Linked DNA regions of Nothobranchius furzeri. The protein of the gene in region 3 purifies or fractionates together with the protein of the main gene of each other region. This does not show direct contact. Links are inferred from orthologs where the notes say so. Each region holds a gene or a part of one and is shown on either strand. Other genes may lie near its edges.

What was found.
Region 1: the proteins of parp1 (region 3) and xrcc1 purify together in Homo sapiens (affinity purification with western blotting; 9 studies listed by BioGRID and IntAct, with this or other methods). This does not show direct contact. The link is inferred for Nothobranchius furzeri from reciprocal best matches to the Homo sapiens genes PARP1 and XRCC1.
Region 2: the proteins of parp1 (region 3) and tcf7l2 purify together in Homo sapiens (affinity purification with mass spectrometry; 3 studies listed by BioGRID and IntAct, with this or other methods). This does not show direct contact. The link is inferred for Nothobranchius furzeri from reciprocal best matches to the Homo sapiens genes PARP1 and TCF7L2.
Region 4: the proteins of parp1 (region 3) and h2ax purify together in Homo sapiens (affinity purification with mass spectrometry; 9 studies listed by BioGRID and IntAct, counting the BioPlex papers as one, with this or other methods). This does not show direct contact. The link is inferred for Nothobranchius furzeri from reciprocal best matches to the Homo sapiens genes PARP1 and H2AX.

What each region holds. Positions count from the first base shown.
Region 1 is NC_091745.1:68,574,857-68,579,051, forward strand, and holds the start of xrcc1 (DNA repair protein XRCC1), read right to left. Parts: upstream 2,842-4,195; 5' UTR 2,614-2,841; coding exon 2,563-2,613; intron 2,482-2,562; coding exon 2,389-2,481; intron 1-2,388. Other genes in the region: sialic acid-binding Ig-like lectin 5, read right to left, coding at 4,120-4,195. UniProt on the Homo sapiens protein: Scaffold protein involved in DNA single-strand break repair by mediating the assembly of DNA break repair protein complexes. Negatively regulates ADP-ribosyltransferase activity of PARP1 during base-excision repair in order to prevent excessive PARP1 activity.
Region 2 is NC_091756.1:39,558,240-39,562,552, forward strand, and holds the start of tcf7l2 (transcription factor 7-like 2), read right to left. Parts: upstream 2,842-4,313; 5' UTR 2,414-2,841; coding exon 2,225-2,413; intron 2,082-2,224; coding exon 2,015-2,081; intron 1,843-2,014; coding exon 1,718-1,842; intron 1-1,717. UniProt on the Homo sapiens protein: Participates in the Wnt signaling pathway and modulates MYC expression by binding to its promoter in a sequence-specific manner. Acts as a repressor in the absence of CTNNB1, and as activator in its presence.
Region 3 is NC_091742.1:4,979,777-4,983,793, reverse strand, and holds the start of parp1 (poly [ADP-ribose] polymerase 1), read right to left. Parts: upstream 2,850-4,017; 5' UTR 2,726-2,849; coding exon 2,603-2,725; intron 902-2,602; coding exon 736-901; intron 448-735; coding exon 332-447; intron 241-331; coding exon 26-240; intron 20-25; exon of another isoform or gene 5-19; coding exon of another isoform or gene 1-4. Other genes in the region: adorb1a (adenosine A2c receptor), read left to right, coding at 1-4. UniProt on the Homo sapiens protein: Poly-ADP-ribosyltransferase that mediates poly-ADP-ribosylation of proteins and plays a key role in DNA repair.
Region 4 is NC_091750.1:47,427,498-47,430,464, reverse strand, and holds h2ax (histone H2AX), read right to left. Parts: upstream 1,494-2,967; 5' UTR 1,471-1,493; coding exon 964-1,470; 3' UTR 542-963; downstream 1-541. UniProt on the Homo sapiens protein: Variant histone H2A which replaces conventional H2A in a subset of nucleosomes. Nucleosomes wrap and compact DNA into chromatin, limiting DNA accessibility to the cellular machineries which require DNA as a template.

The DNA.
Region 1 (4,195 bases), on a different chromosome or scaffold from region 3:
TTCTTTAAAGGTGCATTATGTAGAAATGAAGTAAAAATGTGGTAATATTTGTTTACTGCACCGCAACCATTTTAAACAACTCTGGAGATTTTTTGCTGGCCGTTGTCAAATTACAATTGTCGGCGCAGCAGTATTAGCTCACAGGAGACACGGCAACCCCACACTCACTGATGGTAAACAGCAGTCACGTTCCTCCTTCCTTTGTTAAGACATGAGAAAAGCTGACAATCCCCACAGCCAGCTGGATATGAAATACGTTTCAGTATAATCTTCCTTCCAAAATGACTGAAACATTACTCTTTTGGGATTTTCTCACTGTAAAATTCTCCCTATATTCTTACATACTGCACCTTTAATGTTGATTATAACGGCCAACTAATGAAAATCCAAAGTTCAGTATCGCAGAAAATTTGAATATCAATTAAGACTAGGGGTGTAACGGTTCACGAGGGAGTGTTAAACCGTTTCGGTTCGGTCCACTTGCGTATCGTTTCGGTTTATTTTTTCCGTTAAATAATGAATATTTATTGGTGTGATTCAAGTGCAGCGGATAAAAATTCCTACATGAGTTTCTGCACGGACACTGAATTGAGTGACGCATGATGGCTGCACGCGCCCAGTCTCTGTAAAAAAAAAGGCGATGTGCAAATTCTGACCAACACCTTTCAGAGCGGATCAAACCAGCTGGCTGTCGCTGCTTCTGGAGTCTGTAGAGATGCTGAACGGAGCGTCACCTGTCTCCCTTCTCTCACACTGCAGGCACGCAGCAGCAAAAATGTAAACAAACACGTCTGCTGAACTTTCCCCTTGACAACTGATGTAAAGTTTTCAACCTACAACCAAACACCCAGGAAGCACGTTCGTTTTAAAGAAGAAACTCTGGGTGGTGTGAGGTGAGTTTTTAAGGCTCGCTGCAGAAATAAACTGTGAAACTAATGCTACGGAAGTTCCGGAGGGCCAAAAAGGCGCTATTACATAAATTACACTTTTTTTTTAAATCACCCGCAACAAAAAATTCGAATTAATTCATTCAATTGATTTATTGCCCAGGCCTAGTCCAGGATATTGCATCCTCCTCTTCACAATATCCCATAGGTGTTCAAGTGAGTTTCCTGGTCAATCAAGAACGGGAATACCATGGTCACTGACCCTGTGTGCAGGTGCCAAGTTCTGTTGGAAAATTAAATCTGCATCTCCATAAATTTGGTCAGCTGCAGGAAGCATGAAGTGCTCTAAAACTTCCTGGTAGACAGCTACGTAGACCTTATACCTCAGAAAACACAATGGACCAACATCAGCAGATGACACTGCACCCCAAACCATCAATGACTGTGGAAACTTTACACTGTACCTCAAGCAATGCGGATTATGTTTCTCTCCTCTCTTCCTCCAGACTCTGGGACCTTGATTTCCAAAGGAACATAACTTTGGATCACTCAGCAGCAGTCCAGTCCTTGTCTTTAACCCAGGCAAGACGCTTCTGAAGCGGTCATTTCTTCAAAAGTGGATTGACACAAGGAATGCGACAGCTGAAGCCCATTTCTTGAATATGTCTGTGTGTGGGTGGTTCTTGAAGCACTGACTCCAGCTGCAGTCCACTCTTAGTGAATCTCCACATTTTTTAATGGGTTTTGTTTCACAATTCTCTCCTGGGTGCAGTTACCCCTATTGCTATTACAAGTTTTTCTACCACATCTTGTCCTTCCTTTTGTCTCTCTATTAATGTGCTTGGACACAGAGCTCTGTGAACAACCAGCCTCCTTATCATGACCGTTTGTGTCTTGCCCTCCTTGTGGAAGATGTCAATGGTCATCTTTTGAATAACTGTCAAGTTAGCAGTATTCCCCATGGTTCTGTAGCTTACAGAACAAGACTGAGACCATTAAAAGGCTCTTTTTTTTTGGCTGATTAGAGTGTGGCACCTGGGGGCCTTCAATATTGAACATTTTCACAATATTCTAATATCCTGAGATACTGAATTTGGGATTTTCATTAGTTGTCAGTTATAATCATCAAAATTGAAGAAATAAACATTTGAAATACATCAGTCCGTGTGTTAAGAATGCATCTAATATACAAGTTTCACTTTTAAAAGTAATTACCTTTTTCATGAAATTCTAATTTAATGATCAGCACATGAACATGCTCAAATCACTTGACTTTAAAATGTTATTGTGCTACATTCAGATATGTCAATTAAAGTTGAGTTCAAACGCATGCTTAAAGATCCATCTCTTTCAAAACCCTAAAAACATCATTCTATAATTTAAGCATTTTCTAGGATTTACAACTGAAATAAAAGCCTGATTTAAATATCTCTGTTCAGTGTCACCTGGGCAAATAAAAACAAACTACCGACATTTGACATCAAAAGGGCCAAAAACCAACCTGCAGAATGACTGATGTCTGTTTCTCTCCGGGTCTTGCTGCTTTCCACTTTCTGTAGGTGTCTGAGCTCAGGAGATTGTCTGCTTTATGCGTCTGTTTTATGTTGAAAGTGGGTTTAGTGGAAGCTCAACAGCAGCTGAACATCGACTTTACATGATACAAAAAAAAACTTACACTGTCCTCTGAGCTGCAGGACACGACATGTTTCAGTTGGATTTCTGGCATATTTTGACAAGTTCAAACTTACTTAACCATAAAAACCGTCAACCGAGCGCTTTAAAGATCTAGCGAATCCGTATCAGGTTCAAGACACATAAAACGAAACCAGATTTCGTTTAGTGGCTGTACTTCTCTCGTTAGTCTGCGTTAAACAAGCTGTTGACTAAGCTGATAGCATGCTAGCAAACAATAGATAGTGAACTTTTCCTCATTCGTTTGGTAATTCGTTGTATTTAAATGACTGCTGCGCACAAAATGTTTACACTGCTGTATGCTTGACAAATACCCGTTTCTTTGTCAGCAAAGTAAACTACTGAATTTTCGTGTTAACACGCTTAATTTAACGTAAAACGAGCGAAAGGGTGTCCACATTTTCCCACCAAAAGGCTGCACATTTGACAACCTGACGTAACTTCCAAACAACCGATTTTCTGTCCAATGAGAGCGTTTCTTTTTCTTCTTCTTTTACCATAATTACTTTACACACGTGAGCGCCCCCAAACGGGAGAACTGTGAACTGAGACATCACTAATAAATAGTTTTAAAGATTTAAAAATGTTAACTTACTTTTCTTTTGTTTATATCCTGAAAATGTGTTTTATTTTATAAATTTTAGGGCAGAATTATTTTAGTATTTAAATGTGTGGCAGTGTGAGCGTCCTGTCACAGTGTCCCGATTGATATGCGCCCTGGCTGGCTACTAAGCCAAAGAGATGTTTGACTGACTGGTTCGGTTCGCGCGCGTGACCCTGCTCGGGCCTGCATGTAAATATAAAATGTTATTTTAATACTGTGTAGTACTATTAGTTATTTATTGTATTTAATCTTTTAAATTTAAATTATTTCTGTTGTTTTGTTCATATTTTTGCTAATAATAACAACCCACTTTTATTGTCATATCAATTGTTTTCAGTATATGTCATATATACTTAACTGAAAATGTTCTAAATCTGAAAATAGTTATCGACTGAAGCTGTTTATTTTGCTTTTTCTTGGACAATGATATAAAAGAACACCAAATGTTTTTGATTATTGTAAAATAAAGTTGTGAGGAAAAAAGTTAATACAATCACAGTTTTTACATTCCTGCCCAAACATAAAAGCAGTGATTCTTTATTTCAAAATGTTTTATATTCAATAACAACTTTATTAATGCTCAAATTAATTATCACGGGCAAAAACAAACAAACAAAAAACATCCATAAAACGAAAAATTTCACTTTATCATCAGAAGGGTTAAAGCCAGTCTGTGGGATTGGTGCAAAGTATCATAACACCGGTTGTCCTAAAGTTTAATCAGAAGTTGAACTTTAAGATCATCTGACTAGTAAAACGTTTGGGCTGAAAAGAAAAATTACTGACGTAACAAAAATTGTAAGAGTGCTTAAGCTCAACAAGATTCCAGATATCTGAATCAGTGAATGCTGCAGCAACATGTGGCGGGAAACATGAATGACTGATCCTCCGGAGTTCGGAACCATTTTTAATCATTATTTTATGAGAAGAAACAGTTCAGAGGACCTCCAGGTAGATGCCTGTCTCTGGATCAGCACCCTGCACCTCCCTTGTTGCTCTGACCCCTACACCA
Region 2 (4,313 bases), on a different chromosome or scaffold from region 3:
TTCAGGTGGAGTCGGCTGGATAACGTTTGTCTGCAAATATGCACAATTAGTCCGGATTTTTCCTGCAAGGTGTGGAAATGTTACAGATGGTGTAAGGCAAGATAAATATAATTCTTTTTTTTTATTGTGTGTGAAAACAGAAATTAAAGGGCAACGCAGTCTGATCAGCAGCATCTCTTGGACAGAATGCACATATTTGAGCTGCACAACAAAAGGAGCGCTGTGCAAACCTGCAACAGGACACACACACACACACGCACACACACACACACACACACACACACACACACACACACACACACAGAGAAAGAGGAAAAACCAATAAACTCTGCTACTGAGAAAAGGAAGTCCTTCACTTAAAATCACGAGAGCCGTGGTGAACGTGTGTTAGTGTCAGCGCTGATGAGAACAACCAGTGACTAATTCCCACCACATACCAGCCGGCTGCAGCAGCGTTAACCAGGGCCGGACCATGCAGAGACAGAGGCAGGATTAGAAATAAAATAAAAACAGCAAAAACCTTCTCATGTGGTAAAAACATATTGGTCATAGCAGCGAAAAACGTTCATAAATAATGATCAAATTATTTCACGTGAGCCCATGGGCGACTGAGTCAAGAGCTGAAATTGTGTCAAACACAAAAGAAGGCATTATGTGTCAGGTGTGAGCTCATTTTCAAGGTGTGCACATGCAGGGCGCGCACACACTCACACACACACACAAAACACAGAAGGTAACAAATCTGGCTAAGCAAAGCTGAGTTAGTGGGTCATATTTCCTACGGCCTGGTCTTCGCCTTAACCTTGTAAAATAAGATGACAGCTCCTAAAGCAAAGACTTGTAATTGCAGTCATTTAACACAAGTTTTTTGTTTGTTTGTTTTTTAAAGGTTCATGGTTGAGAAAATGATTCTGCTTTAAGGTATCCATCCCCCTGTGGGACCAGTGAGGTGCATAATTACAGAATGGCTGATTGTGACTAAATAACTAACATGAAAATATTTAGAAATGTGGCTTTAGATCAGCATGCGTTGGGTAAAGGCTGTGGACACCTCCAGGAAGCAAAGGGTGGCACACATGCTCAACAAAGCAGAGCTGCGCAATCCAATCAGATAAACAAATTACAACTTTTAAAATATTTTTATATATGTTATAATATAACAGTTAATGTGGGCTTACTCAAGTGCACCTTTCATAAAATTTCCTTTCACGTTTCAGTCACATGCAAATCACCCAGAAAAGACTCATTTGCATATTTATTTTATTGGTGTGGTTTTACACTGCTTACTGTGTCAGAGCCATGCTTGTGTTAGAAAAAAGGGCATTTTAAATGAGGCTATGCTAGCACGAATCAACTGCATTATTCAGCAGTGTTGTTTTTAAATTAAATTAAAAATAATAATAATAATTCATTTTAACTGGGTTTTTACTGGCGCACAGCAAAAATTTTATTAAGAGGAAGAACAAAAATTTGAATATCGCCGTGTGTTTCATTCCAAAATTGCTAAATCTGAGATTGAGAGACATTTAATAAAGTTTTTATTTTTTAGAGCGCGTGCCGCCGTACTGTCCACTTCAGGAACAGTTGGGAAAACTTGGCTTTGTCGGCAGCAGCTCTTCTGGGTGACAAAACAAACCCCGACTCGGGGACACAGTGTGTGTGTATCTGTGGGTGAGGAATGTGTGTAGAAATCCAGCTGAAAATTAAATGAACTTACTGTTCGTGCTGTTGGAGAAAGTGATCCATTGGGAAGGTAGGGGCTTGTGAGGTCGGGAATCATTATAAATGGATAGCCCGGGTACGGTGGGCTCTTGAACAGCCCTCCATCTTGCCTTTTCGCAGCTAACATGGCGGGGGGGTGGGGGGAGAAAAAAAAGAGGAAAACCTTTTTTAAAGTGGCCATGGAAAGTTTTTAATTTCCTGAAAACTACATTTGAGTTAGAGAGGAGATTCCCTCTCCGTCAGGCACATTTTATGTAATGTTAAAAGAAGAAAACAAGCCAAAGTAACTCACCCTCTTCTAAACTTTCTCTCGTTTTGTCTCTGAAAGTTTCAGATCTAGGCGGAGGCCGTCTTTCCGCCTTGAAATGCAATGAAACACAAGGATTGCGTTAAACTCGAGGGTGCTGGAGAACTTCTCCTTCCAAACTCTTCATTAAAAATTAGGAAATGCAAGGGCCTCTGTTTTGTGACTAACTTCAGCGGGGATCGATCCGAAACTTACCTCTGAATCCGAGGAGCTGTTCTGATTCGTTTCCGACTCGTTTACGAGAGAAGATTTGACGTCTGCTAAATCCCTTTCTGCCGAGGAGTTCTCCGAAATTTTCTCCTCCTGCTCCCCTTCGTCTTTGAAGGAAATCATTTCATCGTTCGCACCCAGATCGTCCCCTCCACCGCCGTTGAGCTGCGGCATGTTTCCCGTGCAGAAAGCTCTCCTGACCGGGGCACAACACAAACTTTCAAACCCTTGATCTCGGCGATCTCGGTAGTCCGAGTTTAAGTTTTTTTTTATATAAAAGAAAAACGCGGGGTCTTGTATTGGCGTTTTCCAAAGCTCTGGCGGTTGGTAGAAAACTATATAAGAAGAAAAAAAGAAGGGGGGAATCTTGGCAGAAAAAGGAAGCCGGAGAAGGAGCCGAGCCGCCCGGATTGAGTGAGTTGAAGTTGGTCGGAGTGGTTTTCAGTTCAAAGGCGGCGCTGATTGACAGATAGAGAGGGATGGAAATAGAGAGAGTCTGGATTCAGGATTATTGACAGGGAGAAACACACAAGAAACTAATGAGATTCAAACAGGGAGGGACTTGAAGTGACGTTTTCATAAATAGGAGGAAAGAAAAAAAACTGAAAGGGAGAGAGGGGGGGGGGCGGGGGGACGACTGCAGAGAAAAGGCATGTGAGGAGGGAAAAAGGCAGTTTGGGAACAGGACAGTGAGGGTGAAATAGCAGGAAGATAGGAGGATGCTTGCAAATGTGGATTAAACGCACATATGGGCGGTCTCCCGGTGGAAGGAGGGAGAAAGAAAGGAAAAGAGGGCGCTTCCTCCGGCTGTTTCACCCTCCTACTCCTGGCTGACACTTCCCAGCTAAATAAAGTTAATGTTACATGTTTAAATAAAAATGTGTTTTTTTTATTCTTCTGGCAAATTCAGATGCTTAAATACTCAGAGCCTATCAAAGCAACATTACTCAGAACTGTTAGCGATTCTTATTTCATCTGCTTTGTCAGCTCCTTAGATCTATTTTTCATTATGTTGGCTAATGTTTCCTTAGATCTATTTTTTGGGATGGAGGGTGTTATTGCATCCTACTTTCTCGACAGGTGTGATGTCCTCTGGGACTAACCTGAATTCCTCACAGGCAGCACAGACTGAGCTGTTTTTATTTTTCCCTCTTCTTCTCTTTCCTCCTCAGCAGCCAGGCTACTGGACACAAAGAGACGGATGCAGACTCAGATGCTGCAGCTCTGTCTTATTTTAGTCTGGATGGACCTTTAAAAGACAGAAAATTTGAGTGTTTTTGGTGATCTAGAAATAAAATTGCTGCACATGAAATGGAAAAAAGTATATAAGATGGTTTTATGGTTTGTTTTTATTAATTTTATATTAATTAAATTTGTTGTGACAAAAACAAATCTTATTAACTTTTCTCATGTTCTATGCAATAAAGAAAAAAAACACCTGATGAATAAAAATGCAAAAACATCTTAAATGTAACACCTAAGCATCACAAACCTGCAGTTTAATCACAGCAGCTGACACTATCTCATCAGTTTTCTCTTATCTGGTTCAATCTAGAGCAACAATCACAAAAACATCAATTAATTCACCTTTGGCAACAAGAAACGGAGCTAAAGCATCCAGATGACACCGCCTTGCAGAAATGAAAAAAGGAGCAAGATCAAAACAAGTCACTGAATTGTTGATTAAAAATATTGTCTCGTGTCTTCATGGCGTAAGGCGTGTGAAAACAAATATTATGACACTAATTCCTCTGTATCTGCTGTCAGCAGTGTTGTCAGAAAGCGCTGATAGGGAATTACGTGCAGCACCAAGGTGCTGGGAGCCTAACACGCCCAGAACCAGGCAGTTCCATGAAAGCAGGTGCCCATCATTGATGCTCTTTATCTGGATGAGGTGAAAGCAGCATTTGCTTGCTGCAGCCCATGCAGACAGGAGGAGCATGGAGGAAAGGGTTGCCATTACAGTTTTGTTTTGTTTTTTTTATCCTGTGTGTCAGTGTTCAGGGAGCCGATGGAAGAAGACACACCCTGCTGCTCAGGGGCCCTCCAAACCCGACCCCCGTGCAGACCAGAC
Region 3 (4,017 bases):
CTAAACTAAACGTTTGTCATCTCACCCCTCAGATTTGACAGCAGGGAGCCTCTTCTTAAGATCGTTCTTGTCTTCGGCGCGCAGCGCGTCGAATCCCTTCAGCTGGGCGGCGGAATAATCGGGCTTAAACACCAGTTCCTCCCTGCGGCTCACGAAGCACGCCGTGTGGTACCAGCGGTCGATCAGACCCAGCTGAGGTTTCTCTGGGTCAACCGTTTTCTTGGAAACACGAATCTGATCCTGAAAGAGAAGCAAAAATACGGCAGACATGTGAAGTATTTATGACACGTGTTCAACGGTTATTGATTAAGACATTTCCTGTGCTGCGGACCTTTTCTATTTTTTGCTCGCAGCCTTTGCACGTGCTGCGGTTCGACTTGGCGTACTCCACGGCAAAGTTATTCAGAGTTTTGGCCCCTTGAGCGGCACCTTTTGAATCACTTTTCCCTGCAAGATGCAAAGGAAAATAAGTCTAAACATTTAAAAAAAATATGCATTAATAGTAAATGATAAATTAAAAACATTTAGAACAACTTGAGAAATGGCACTCTTTTGACTTTTTATGGATCACTTCACTTTTTTATCTGGCTAATAAGACAAAGTTAAACCAATTGAAAGTAGCTATCTTAAGCTCTTTTGCTTACGATCCAATCCAATTTTATTTATAAAGCGCATTCACAAGGCATTACAACCAAACAAGGCGCTGAACACAATAATTAAAGATCTACCACCGACCTGCTCCGACAGCTCCTCCAGTCTCAATAGCCTTTTTGACTTTTTGCTGGTCCTCCCAGCGAAGAGTGGAGAACCCGGCGATGTCTGCTTCAGTCTGAGCTGCCGCTCGCTGCCAGAAGCAGGAGAAGTGGTGCCAGTGTGGGACTTTCCCATCGAACATCGGGGACTGGAGGACAAAAACAAGACAATGAAGCAACAGCAAATATCAGAAAAAAAAGATGAAAAAAAAAAACAAAACCATTAAAGTGAGAATAAAGGTTTTTCTGTTTGAATTTTTCTGGTTTCTGAATTTGAATGTTGTTTTGTTGTTGGATTTCTGTGCTAGTCATGGATTGTTGTCGTTTCGTCTGACCTGCGGCCGCGTGTCTTGGACACTCGGGTGAAGAGAGGGGCGGAGCAGGCAACTGACAACTACCTGGTGGTGAGTTGGCTCAGATGGTGGGGGAGGATACCGGTCAGACCAGGCAGGCCCAAACGTATCGCGAGGGTCTGCTGGGAACGTCTGGCAGAGTCTCCTGTCAGAAGGAGCTTCAATTCCCACCTCCGACAGAACTTCCAAAATGTTCCGGGGGAGGCGGGGGACATCGAGTCTGAATGCACTCTTTTCCGTGCCTCTTTTGTTGAGGCGGCCGACCGGAGCTGTGGTCGCAGGATCGTTGGTGCCTGTCGTGGTGGCAACCCCCGAACCCGCTTGTGGACACCGGCGGTTAGGGATGCCGTCAAGCTGAAGAAAGAGTCCTAACAGGTCTTTTTGGCCTGTGGGACTCCAGAGGCAGCTGACGGGAACCCGCAGTCCTGCCTGGTGAGGTTTTCTGGGCACGTCCAACCAGGAGGAGCCCTTAAGGTAAACCCCGGACACGGTGGAGGGACTATGTCTCTCACCTGGCCAGGGAACGCCTTGGGATTTCACCAGAGAAGCTGGCCCAAGTGGCTGGGGAGAGGGAAGTCTGGGCCTCTTGACTTCGGCTACTGGCTACTACCCATCTCCGGATAAGCGGATGAAAATGGATGGATGGAATTTTTCTGGTTTTACATGACAAACGTTTTTTGTGCATTAAAAAAATTCAGATTTTACTCACGTTAAAAATAAAATCATGAATTTGTAAACAAGGGTTTTCACAATTTTGTCTTTAAAACTACAGATAATAATTCTGACTTACTTATTTAAACAAGTATAACAAATAAACATATTCACAAGAATGTCAATGTTTCATGCAGCCAGAACTAAAAAAAAATTGACATATTTTGCAGAAAATACACAACACACGGTTGGGTTTTCCAACAATAAAAACAAAAAGGAACCACTGACCTGATAATATGCATTACTGTAACTATTAAGACGTTACAAAAGAAATACTATATAGACTATATTTTGTGGCTGAAACTTTAAATGTGTGCAAGTGGTAATGAATTTTCCTTCCTTTTGCAGGGGTGAGTGCTGATCTGGACCCACAGACTGACCAATAAGCAGGAGTTTGACTCTTACATGATTATTTCTCTATTGCACAGACTGGAACAGCTGCTTGTGTGATTTTTTTTATCTATGTCTCTTGAGTGGAGGAGAGGATGGAGCAGTTGTATTCTGCAGCACACTGGATGGGTCTCAGACATTGTCCTAAGTCCCTCTGAGGCGATCCAGGCGGCTCTTTGTGAGCCAGATTCATTCAGTCAGCCATTTAAATGCTAACCGGGGGCCTCACTTAGCACAACTCAAACTCCTTTATAAACTACACTAGATTAGTTTAAAGTCTGATTATTATGGTTCTCTATATGCGCACATATGATTTAGATATCAGCACGGTTATAAAAGGCTTCATAACAGAATGGTTCCTTGGTTAAATCCCTCCAGACGTCGCTACCTCCTCACCTGCACCATGAGGGCCATCCTCAGCGAGTCCTTAGCTATGCTCTCTTTGCATTTCTTGCACGAAGCCCGGCCGCTTTTCGCGTATTCCGCCTTGTAGAGCTTGTCATCTTGGGAGTCCGCCATTGTTCCTTAATGTTGCAAACAAGCAAACAAAGCGACGTGATGAAGAGGGCAACTTTCTCCGATGCACTCTCGGAGCCACCACAACAATCACAGGCAGAGCGGCGGCTGCAGCCCGCGTGCTACTTGGAGAGGAAGCTCACGAGACGAGGTCTCACTCTGACTCCGATTTACAATCCACGTAAGTTTTAACTTTGTTTTAATGTACTTTGTGGTATATTACGTTTTAGTTTGTTTACGTTATGATTCGAGACATTATGATGATTCGTTTGGCCATTTTAAACTTCTGTGTGGTCCCCACCTGTTTGTATTTTTCTCTAATGTACCGAAAAAAATCAGGGTTGAGTTGTTACACTGTAACCACATAACAACTTTGTTTATTCTTAACGGTTCATAAAAGAGAGAAACATTTGGCCACTCTAACCCAGAGCTAGAGTAGCTCTGCCCTAACCTAAATCTCTGACGCACTGTGATTTTTATCTTGAAAGGCGCTACACACATTAACTTTTCTTCTTCTACCAAGTGGGGCATCTTAAGAGCAATATAGGATCAGTGAACTGGTTCGCAGAATTCCCGCGCGAGTTTCAGCCAGAACTAATGGAGCACAGATCAATCAGATTTTTACAAAACTAAACATGAAATTCTACATGAAGCAAAACTATTAAGTATGTTAATTATAAATATATTTACAATAGTTGCATTTGTTTATAGTTGATCACTGAGAACTAATGCGCAAACAAACAATTCCAAAGAATAGTTCTGCTTTAAGATTTTTATTTGCACAATTCACATTGAAAGTTTATGTAAAAAATAAACATACAAAATGTAAATACAATATGTGTTCATCAAATGAACTTCAGTCTTTTGAAAACAAAATTTTTAAAAACTATGACCTGATTATAAGGGCCTAGATAACAATTTGGGTTCAATAACGACAATAATAATACACTGATGGAGACTTTCATTTACTCGTCTTTACAATAATTTTTCACATAGTCATTAATTAGTAAAATTATTTCTAAAAAATCTTTGGGCTTACTAATAAATATAAAAACATCTTTAACTGTAAACAAAATTGGTGGAAAATAACTCACTAAAAACGTCAACCAGGGCTTTACAGGCCACTGAGTAAAATTCTAAGAGGTATTGTGTGTTTTGGCGTAGAGGTCTCACCTCTTGCTAGCACATTTTCTAAGCAAGCAAGAAAATGTGTTGGCTTTTCTTTAACTGGACAAAATAGCATAAACAACAACTGAAAACAGAGATTTCAGATGATGAAGTTAACCTATATTATG
Region 4 (2,967 bases), on a different chromosome or scaffold from region 3:
TGACCCTTGCTGTCAGAGAATGCTGCTGTTGTGTCCACGGGCAAGACGACTAACCCACCTTGTCTGGTGGTGGTCGGAGGAACCAGTGTACAACAGGCCTCGCCTCTGCCAGTGTTCCCTAGGGCAGCTGTAGCTACACCGGATCTCCATCACCACCAGCGTGAATGTGCGTGCATGGGTGAATGACTGTGTGTGTGTGTGTGTGTGTGTGTGTGGGGGGGGTTGGGGTAAAAGGGCTATACAAATACAGGCAATTTACTACTTTGCAAGTACTATTATTTTTTCTGCAGGGATTCTGAAGTTAGTTTTTATCGGACTGCTCATCACCCCTCAGTCCAGTAAGTTGAGTCAGTGGTACAGGGACAAGAACTGAAAAACGTGTAAAAGAAACCACAGAGGAAGCCATGAATGTTAACACTATCTGCTCGCGTGTTTTTCTCCATGTGCAATAAGGAAACACCTGGAGCTGCTTGAATAGACAGCCGTTAGTACATTTCATTTGAGACTTCACCACCACACAAACACGTTTCCAGGTGACAGATGTTGTCTTGCAGAACTTTTAATGAAACCGTTTTGTTGTGAACAGGCGTTTCACATGATGAAAACATACAGCAGCCCTGAGAACCTGAGTGCAATGCATAACAAATGTTTAGTTGCCAGTGTGTGCAGCTAGCATTGGATCTGGTCAGTTGCAGAAGAGTTGCTACTTTAAATAACATTCAAGGATGAAAAATAAACTCAGGATGAAGATTTTCAAGTGACATTTCAGGCTAACTGGGGAAATTTAGCCTAATCTTGTTTCTTAGCAAAGGATCTAGCCTGAAAGAAATTACCTTAACACAAGCCTTCAATAACCCAAACAAAATATGCTTTGAGCGACATTGATAAACTAGAAAAGTTGCCCTTTCGGTCGGTGGTTGGCCCTTAAAAGGGCCTTTGGGTTCATTGTGGTTAGCCGTGAAGCTAATACTCCTGAGACTGAGAGGACGCCTTCTTTCCCGCCTTGCCGGAGCTGGGTGCTGCCTGGCCGGCCTTCTTGGGCAGGAGGACGGCCTGGATGTTAGGCAACACGCCTCCCTGAGCGATGGTCACGCCACCGAGCAGTTTGTTCAGCTCCTCGTCGTTACGGACAGCCAGCTGAAGGTGGCGAGGAATGATTCGGGTCTTCTTGTTGTCCCGAGCGGCGTTGCCAGCCAGCTCCAGGATCTCGGCGGTGAGATACTCGAGGACCGCAGCCAGGTAAACAGGAGCTCCGGCGCCCACTCTCTCAGCATAGTTTCCCTTGCGGAGGAGACGGTGAACACGGCCCACAGGGAACTGCAGACCGGCGCGGGAGCTGCGGGTCTTCGCCTTGGCGCGGGCCTTAGCACCGGTTTTACCTCTTCCAGACATTGTTGAAGATCTCTTCCACGAATATGATTTCAATGCAGAAAATCGCAAAGTAGAAAGAAAAAAGGCTCGCCGAGCCATATATAAGCCTCCACGTTAGTCCCGCCCCAAACTACTATTGGATGCTAGAGAGAGAAGCTCTCATTTGTTTGGCTTTAGGAGATCAAACGTTCCAGGAAGCCAGTAACTATTGGTTTGGCTGCTCTGGCTCTACACCAATCATCGAGGAGTCTGACCAATAGACAAAGGTAATTGGTTGTTTATTTGTTCACCCAGTTTCACGCGGGTCACGTGTCAGAAGGAAGACCAATAGACGGTCTTCCCTCCAGCTTTAAACGTTTTGGCGCGTTACCGAACGAAAAGTGAACATTTCAAGCGATTTAATGAGTATTGATACAGTAAAGTATTGAATAATGTTGTCAGGGTTTTTGACCAAGATCGAAATGTGGTGACACATGTATCACAATTATACATGAGGACAATTTATTAAAATGCGCAAAATGTGCTTGAAGTAAGCTTACACTGCACAAACTGTGTGAGGGAGGGCCAGCAAGACATGGAAAATTCCACCATCCTCCCCCACTGAGACGAAGCTAATCCTAGGCAGCTCAGCAAATAACCATTTTACTGGTAAAAATATATACCTTTTACAAAAACAAGACCATATTAACTAAGTGCACAATCAACATTAGGGTTGAAAAATAATTTATTTGCAATAAATTACATTTTCAAAATATAACTGGGGCCTCACATCTTGAATTTTACAGCCACTTTTTCAAATTACATTCACATATCACTACATGTATATGTATGTGTGCTTTCAGGCAGGAGAGTGGTTTTGATCTGTTCTGCATTTTTAATTAGTTTGACAGTATTGTCCATACAGTACTGGCTTAATGTTTGGCATGTCCATTTGATAATATTTAATCAGATTAAATATTTATTTAAAAACACAGTAATTGAATAATTGATTTTGGTTGTTATGAGGTCCCAAAATTATTGCAGTTATTTCAAATGAGGTTTTTATAAGAGAAAAAAAATCATATGTACAGTTTTACAATTGGTTCTGATTGCTGCAGCAATTATCATTTTGTGTGTCTAGTTGTTAATATTTTTTTTCCAGCCCTGAGAGCAGTTCCACGTATAAAAAACTCTTAAACTTGGTTCTAATTGCCTGAGCTGAACCCTGACAGTCCAAGTGGATTGAATTAAATATGTTTATGACAATAATTCTCCTAAATACAACATTTTGCTGTTTGTGTAATATAAATTAATCAAATGTGTGACTGTTTGTTGTAAAATATGTTTTCTTAGTGAAGCACTGAGCTGCTGCAACTCAGCTATACCTGATCATTGTAAATCGTTTACCGACATGTTTATTTTTAAAGTTGATAGTCTTTCTTTATTTTTATTTTTTATTTTTTACAGATTAAGCTTATTGCCCAGCACGAGATGCCTGCTGACTGAACTATCAAAATCAAACCATAGTTATGATATTCCACAGAAAATAATTATCACACAAAATTACGATAAATACACCATCTTCTCTGCTTTTTATGCGATTAAACATGAATTTTA